Drosophila melanogaster: one gene and its partner. The protein of the gene in region 2 interacts with the protein of the main gene of each other region in a pairwise test. Each region holds a gene or a part of one and is shown on either strand. Other genes may lie near its edges. The genes, in order: PrBP and dnd.

The links.
Region 1: the proteins of dnd (region 2) and PrBP interact in a two-hybrid assay, tested with the Drosophila melanogaster proteins (one large-scale study listed by BioGRID).

Annotation. Positions count from the first base shown.
Region 1 is NT_033779.5:8,684,323-8,687,804, forward strand, and holds PrBP (Prenyl-binding protein), read right to left. Parts: upstream 1,634-3,482; 5' UTR 1,482-1,633; coding exon 1,026-1,481; 3' UTR 501-1,025; downstream 1-500. Other genes in the region: CG9289 (uncharacterized protein), read right to left, coding at 1-28; Trs23 (TRAPP subunit 23), read left to right, coding at 1,996-2,170, 2,228-2,712; Hnf4 (hepatocyte nuclear factor 4), read right to left, coding at 3,456-3,482.
Region 2 is NT_033777.3:21,885,091-21,889,392, forward strand, and holds dnd (dead end), read right to left. Parts: upstream 2,266-4,302; 5' UTR 2,053-2,265; coding exon 2,050-2,052; exon of another isoform or gene 1,939-2,049; intron 1,327-1,938; coding exon 1,198-1,326; intron 1,135-1,197; coding exon 1,003-1,134; intron 945-1,002; coding exon 669-944; 3' UTR 586-668; downstream 1-585. Other genes in the region: CG17819 (uncharacterized protein), read right to left, coding at 1-49, 108-242, 305-445; CG6678 (uncharacterized protein), read left to right, coding at 2,417-2,501, 2,945-3,464, 3,613-3,688, 3,749-4,177.

The DNA of each region.
Region 1 (3,482 bases), on a different chromosome or scaffold from region 2:
GCAGTACAACTCCACTAAACCGCGCCATTATATTATTTCGATCCGCTGCTGTGGGTAGATGGAAGCGAACTGTAAGCTATCCGAGATCTTTGCCCGCCAAGAAGACTTTCTCGCCATCTTCGAGTGACACTTGACCGGGCACGGGTTCTATTTCGAATAAAATGGGGTCAAGTTAGCACTCTCCGCTCCAATCTTCCTCTTAACTTCATGGTTACTTTTCGCGATTCCAATCGCTGAATATTCATCGACACCTAATCTAAATTCAAACTTTGGCAATGTATTGCCGAAAGGCAAGCCCGCGATCTAAATGGGATTATGCTCGTTGACATGAAAGTAAAATAGAGCCAGGCGCAACCTGTTCTACGATTGACCCCTAGGGCATTTTCTCCCACTGAGCAAGATTCACTGAGTATCTCCACACGATGAGATATTGCATTATGCTAATCTCCTTTGGGCCAGACATCTGTATCCTAAAATGGTTCATATAACAACTTTCTTTTAACATCTGTTTATATTTGCTGACAAATTGCGTACAGCTAGGCTATATCTAATACAACGTTTTCGATTGTATGAGTGAATTACTCCTCATACAGCTTCAACAGACTTAAGTAGACTTTATGGATTGGTTACAACTGGTACAGAGATCTATAGATACAATTTATCTCAAATGACACAATGTTCGGCAGCTATTTTTAGTCCATATGTGACAGTCTACAAAAGATTTGTACATAAGCATGCATGTTGCGTTCGAATTCGAGTTGACAGACTCCTTGGTTTATGCAAATTACATTTGTTAATTTTTTATTAATATATTACTGTGGTAAACGTAAAATTAGATTAGATTAAAATGCATTGGACTACAACTAGTTCATAAACGCGCAAACAATTGCATTGAAATGCTGAAGTACTCAAAAGCGAAGTATGCATGTTTTGTAGAGAACATCTTGAAGAACAACCAAAAAAACTTGTGGGTGGACGCGAGAACACCTGGTCGATCAGCAGAACGGCAGGTGACTCACATTTGCCTAAATGTAGTACAGGCGCACAACCGATTTGGTGATGAGTGTCTCGTTGTCGTAGAAACTGGTTTGGATAGTCACATTGCCGTTCAAGACCTTGGCAGGCATCATCTGGGATTCGGGTGCCGCCTCGATTGTCGACTGCCAGGTGTTGGTGGTGTTGGCACCCACGAATCCCATCTCAAAGAACCACTCCTCCATGATGCGGCCCTTGAAGAGCACCTTCTGGTCCAGGCGAAAGTTCTCCATCGACTCGATGGTGCTGAAGTTGATCTCCCGGGAAACGGCACGCATGTCGAGTATTTTCACCGGCACTCGGGCCTCATGCTCCTGGTCCGGTGCCGAGAAGTCCTTGTTCTCCTGCCAGATTATTTTTCCGCTGTCGGCATCCCGCAGAATCATATAGTTGATCTGGAATCCCTTCTGGATCCTGTCCCCGGCACTCTGGTCGTCGGAGCCCATCGGTGGCCGTGGAGGTTGCAAGTCGGTCAATCGGGTGCACTGCCAGGTGGGAGCGCCTACGCGTTTACGTATACTTTCGGGCAGAAAATCAATTATGTTTATTTTTAATTCTAATGCCGAGACAGCTGTTCGGCCGTGAACTAGTTAAATGAACGCGATAGGCAAGATGGAATCAGTTTAAAGAGCTACTCCGCCCTGGTAGAACTAGATTTTTGGTTGAACTTGTAAATATTTTTTAAGTATTCTTAGTATTCTGGCTAAAGAGTTTACTTCCCATTTTATTCCTAAATTTTAAATAATGCTTCTTATAATAATTTAATGGTTTATTTATCCTAATAATTATAATTTCTTCGATGGACCCAACTGTTAAGGCGCAATGTTAATGTACTGTTAATGGCAACTAAGCCGGAACTGGAACTGGTTCCGCGGCAAACAGCTGGCTGGCACTACCATCGCTAATTCGCATAAAATATAAAAACATTCCTAGGAAACTTAGAATTAGTAATAGTAAGAAATGATTATATATGGCGTCTATATAGTTAGTAAATCGGGTGGCCTTATATTCAACCTGGACAACAATGTGCCACGCATTGAGCACGAGAAGACCTTTACATACCCTCTGGACTTGGTGCTGGACTACGATTCCAAGAAGGTATCGGTCTCGTTCAACAGAAAGGATGGAATAAATGGTGGGTGTGTCTGTGAATTTTAGAAACATAACCACCTTAATATATGCTTACGAACAGTGGGCCATGTCCTGGTGGCGGTCAACGGTATGCCCGTCAATGGAGTCACCCTGGATGATGGACGCGATGTGAGGACGACACTGGATGCACCGGAGAACTATCCCATTAACCTGAAGTTCAGCCGGCCAAAGATGACCACCAACGAGAAAATCTTTCTGGCCAGCATGTTCTACCCGCTGTTCGCCATCGCCAGCCAACTGAGTCCGGAGCCCAAGAGTTCCGGCATCGAGATCCTAGAGGCGGACACTTTCACGCTGCACTGCTTCCAAACGCTGACCGGAATCAAGTTCATTATAATCTCGGAAACGGGTCTCAATGGCATTGATCTGCTGCTGCGAAAGGTTTACGAGCTGTACTCAGACTACGTGCTCAAGAACCCCTTCTACTCCCTGGAGATGCCCATTCGATGCGAGCTCTTCGACAACAAGCTCCAAGAGCTCCTCGCCCAGGTCGAGAAGACGGGCATTAGCAATATCGATAAATAAACGTTAGTTAGTCTTTGTAATACGTTATTGAATTTTTTCTATGCAGGATCAGGGTTACGTTCTAAGTGGGAGCATAGGAACATATATCGCTTTATCAGTTTGGATATTTAAAGTTGTTGCTGAAAGAGATGGCATAAATTATAAATTATAGTAATATTTATTACTAGTAAAAATGCCGCAGTAAACGATTTACATTCATATTCTCCAGTGTTTATTTTGATTTTGTTTATTCATTCAGCCATCTTAGAAATAGTTTGTATATTATACATATTCATATAAAAATAGTTCTTTGTTTAAAATTAAATATATATTACACTTTCAGCATAATCTAGACAACACCCTAACCTAAAACAATATATTGCATGGCCTTATATGAATGTTTTGTGATCCACGCACAAGTATAAGATAACCAAATAACCAACAAACTCAGTACATGCTAAATGGTGTATATATATAGTATAATTGTATATAATAAACTTCTTGAGCAAAATATGACTCCAAAAATATATTGCAACTGCGTTAAACATTAAAAATTAAGCAACAATTTCCAAAATACCTACTTAGGACTAATAAAAAGTATCAAAATGGTTCAAGGCATAACAATTAAGTAAGTTCTTCATTTCAATTTCATCTCTATATAGCACTTGGTGGGGAGTACAGCAAGAGAGGGCCTGTATGTGTATGGGTTGTGTGCTTAAGGGGTGTCCTATTGCAAACTGCATATTGCACCGTTCGTTATTCTTCTAGTAACCAGTCTCTGGCTCCTGTTT
Region 2 (4,302 bases):
ATCGCGCCTCGCTTAGCCGCAGTGCATCCGTGCTATCCAGTACAAAAATCTACGGTTCAGGGATTGTAGTCGAGTCTATATAAGTTCTATATAAGTTCTCCTCTCACCAAAACATTCACTTTCTTATAATACTTTGGCCAGATCTGGCGATTCTTCAGTTCTCCGTTAATATCCCACAACTGGACTCTGAAATTATTTATGGTGAAGCTCCATTCACTAACTTGATTGTTAGATTCCTTGGACTGCAAATAGTTTATGCTAACATTATCAAATGGAGATAGGACCATCACATATATGGCCTTACTTCTCCATTGAAAATTTCCGCCAGGCGGTCTGTCAACGTGGATTTTCCCGCATTGTCTAATCCTAAAATGAGCAGACATGATTTCTGAGAGCCTGCGGGCAGGATCTTTTTTATGAACGAAACAGGTCCGTAAAAACACATGGGGATCGAAATTTGATTTCAGTTTAGATGTCAGGTAAAAATGAATGATTTAACTAGCATAGCCTTCTCAACTATATATTCAGTTTATACTTAAAGATACACGTGAAAAAAGGAAGATTCATCCAACAATTAGAGATTGTGATACTTTTGGTGAGTTGAAATGTAGGTACGTATATTTAGTTCTTAGGGACAACTTAACAGGCGACGATTACTATAATTTAGATTACTTCTTCATATTCTTGCAGACCCAGTCCATTCCCTCCTTTAGTCCAGTGCCATCCACAGCGGTACAGGCCTTGATCTCCCAGGTTCGTCCCTGCAGTTGCACCAAGCTCATCTTCTCGGCCACCTCGGCGGCACTCATGGCATCCGGCATATCCTGTTTGTTAGCGAAAATCAGCACGGGAACTTGCTTCAACCGATTGTCCATGAGCATTTCGAATAGTTCACTACCCGCCTCGGGCAGGCGAGTCCGATCTGTACAGTCAATTACATAGATCTGAAATAATCGAAACTATTAGCTAACAGAATTGAGTTTAGATCTATAACAATCCTACCAGCACATCAGTATTCGCAAAATAGTTCTTCCAATATGGACGTATCTTCCATTGACCACCAATATCCCATACATTCAGTTTGAAACCATCGGCTGCCACGGACTTGATGTTAAATCCTGCCGTGGGCGTTACCTGCGGGATTTCACTCCGTATTTTATGGGGAAAACGGAAGAAGTTCGCCGCCTTTATACGCACCGTGGTTATGTCCTCCGATGCCAGCTGCTTCAGTATCGTGGTCTTGCCAGCATTATCCAATCCTAGGAGCAGGATGCGAGCCTCCTTTTCCGGATTGGGTCTCAGTTTACGCAACAGCGATAGCAGACCCTAAAATTTGTAAGCTATTAAGTTGTTGTTTTTTCTACTTAGTTTTTTGAAGGTGTGTTATTCTAGCACCTGATTACCAGTATTAGTCTAGACTCGGTAGTATCCTCTGGTCTATCTTTGAAATTTTGAATAACAATCTACATTTGGTAGTTTATAAACTTGTAAAATTGTTAATAAATATATGTGTTTTTATAAATGCAACATATGCTTGTAAACACACATGTTTTGTTATTATCAATGTTGTTATCAATAAAGACGATGTAAAGTTGTAAAAAAAAAACTTGCAATTAAAACGTTCTCTTAGTGATAGAATGCAAAAAGCTTATCAACAGGTGAACTTTACAAACATATTGTTGGAATTGAGATAAGGGCTCGCCAAAAGAAACGACAACAAGGTTGAATGAAATAAAAATGTTTATTGGTAAAAAAATTTGCCATGTTCACTTAAAAATTAAGAACTCTTTTTTCCATTGTGTGCTACAAAAAGCTTATTATGTTTCTTTGTTTTCCGAACCACCAATTTGGTTTTTTTTTTCGAATACCGATAATTACGCGCCTAAAACTTTCGAAGTAGTGCTGAAAAAAGTTCTGCTCTAACAAAAAAGTGTTGTATAGTTTTTGAGGCGGGTTTCCATGGCGACGATCGCAAAATGAAAACAAATCGTGCAATTACGGAACAACAAGGCACTTAATTAGCTGTTACGGAACCGGGAGACAACCTACCATCGTATAATTAACGCGAGAATAACAGCCAGGAGGCGGTGCGATCTCCGACCACTATATCCGTATCTGTATCCCCCCGATTCGGCAATCTGCTCTGGCCGCCCAAGACGGTGTCTTCTGGTGGTCAACTCAGGAAAAGTCGGATAACTTGAGAATTGGATCAACTTCAACCACCAAACACAACATCACTGGCTCGTCGCTGCACAACTACTGAAAACAAAATTCGCTCAACGCTCTAACAAATTCCGACAGCAACAACAACAGCGCCAACGGTCGCCGAGCAACCGCTGCAAAGGATTGTTAGACGGGGGACGTGGTGGGGGTGCGGGTCGAGCGGTATTCGAATTGGAACGGGAACGGGAAGAAGATGCCGCTGCTATTTACGGGCTTCAACGCATTTGGCCAGCATGAATGTGTAAGCGGCGACGTCGACTGCGCAGCCGGCTTCAGCGGTTTGTAACCGGCAACAAAAGCCGCCGATCACTTAGTTGCTACAGTAGGCACTCGCTATAGAACTCGCTGGGATGCATGCAGCTTATACCATTTTTACAATTCTAATTCTATCTTATAAAACTGAATCCGATTTAAGCCAGATGAATTTTTAAGATTTCATGTTTAAAATAGAGTATAGTGATTTTCAGGTGAATATATACGTAGGACATTAATCCATAAAATTCTTTGCATATTCATATTCATGCATTGGATATAGACTGCATTTTAATTGACAGTTATAGGGTAAATTACACATCGGTACTTGGTGCCAACTGCATTTTTTGATTGGCCAAATACATACATAGCAATGAAATTGATAAACTAATAACTTAGACAAAATCTTTTTAGGGGGCTTCCACCGTATGTATGTATGTGTACTAATTCAGTTCTGCCTTTATTACAGAATTAAATGCGCCAGTCTCGACTCAGAACCAGTGCACGATTTCGATCGGCTGGCGGTATGCGGCCCTCGCTTTTGGCCGGAAGTTGTGCCTGCGTGGGCTCTTGGATGATGGCCCAAATGAGTGCGTGACCCTGGAAGCAACGGGGAACATAAGGGCCCTTGCCGCTGCCGATTCCCACTGCCTGGTGCTACTCCAAAGCGGTCAGCTTTACAGGGTGCAACCAAAACTGCAAGCGGAACTGGTGGCTGTTAGACTAGAAGCTGCTCCCAGATCCAATTCGGGTACAAAGCGCTCTATCTTTGGGGCTGCCAAGGCGCCTTCGTCGCCGATCATAGAGCATATTGCATGTGGATCGCACATAAACGTAGCGATAAGTTCGGAAAACTGTGTCTACAGCATTCCCAGCTGCCTGCATCAGTTTTCCGAGCGCCAATTTCGGGTGAAGCAGCTCCAATGCGGCCATGAACATGCCGTGCTCCTCAATGCCAATGGCGACGTGTTCACCTGGGGAAATGGACTGTAAGTAAAGGTCATAATGAATGCGTTGGCTGTGCAGAAATGCAGCCTATAAATATTTACATATTCTGGTTTTAAGATATTTAGATATTAGCGAGTTTCTTATTCTAATTCCTAACAATTTTTTTCACTTCTATGTCATAATTAACAGACGCGGACAGTTGGGTCTGGCGGAACTGAGAGTGGAGGAGACGCCTCAATTGCTGGAGGCGCTGGCGGGGATCAAGGTATATATATATTTGACTTGTCCACTTATCTTGTCTGTCACACATTCAAGTGCCTTGCAGATAACTCAAATTGCTGCCGGTGGTTGGCACAGTGCGGCCATATCCGCCTTTGGAGACCTCTACACCTGGGGCCTCAACTGCAGCGGTCAGCTGGGATTGCGTGTGATGAAACCCGGTGGCGTCCTCAAAGAGCCCACTGTATTTCCGCTGCCCCAGTTGCAAGATCTGCCCGAATGTGCCTGCTCCCAAAGCGGGGAGAGCAACGATGATTGCGCACCGCTGAGGGTGTTTGCTGGATCTCGTCACACTCTGCTGATCCGCCGATGCGGGCGGCTATGGGTCAGTGGTTGGTGCAAGCACGGTCAACTTGGCAGGCAGCTCCAAGACCTGTCCTATGTGGATGCTTTTCAGGCCCTGGAAGGTATCACGATGAACCCTACTGTGGATGATGTTCTCTGTGGGCCATGGTCAACGCTGCTCCATTTGAAGGTAACGTTGGATTGAAGACACATACATATGTACCTTTTAAAATGGCTTCACTATTAAATCTACTGAATTGAACACAGCTTGGACACAAACCAATTTACATGTCAACTTGGTTGCCTTCATGTAAA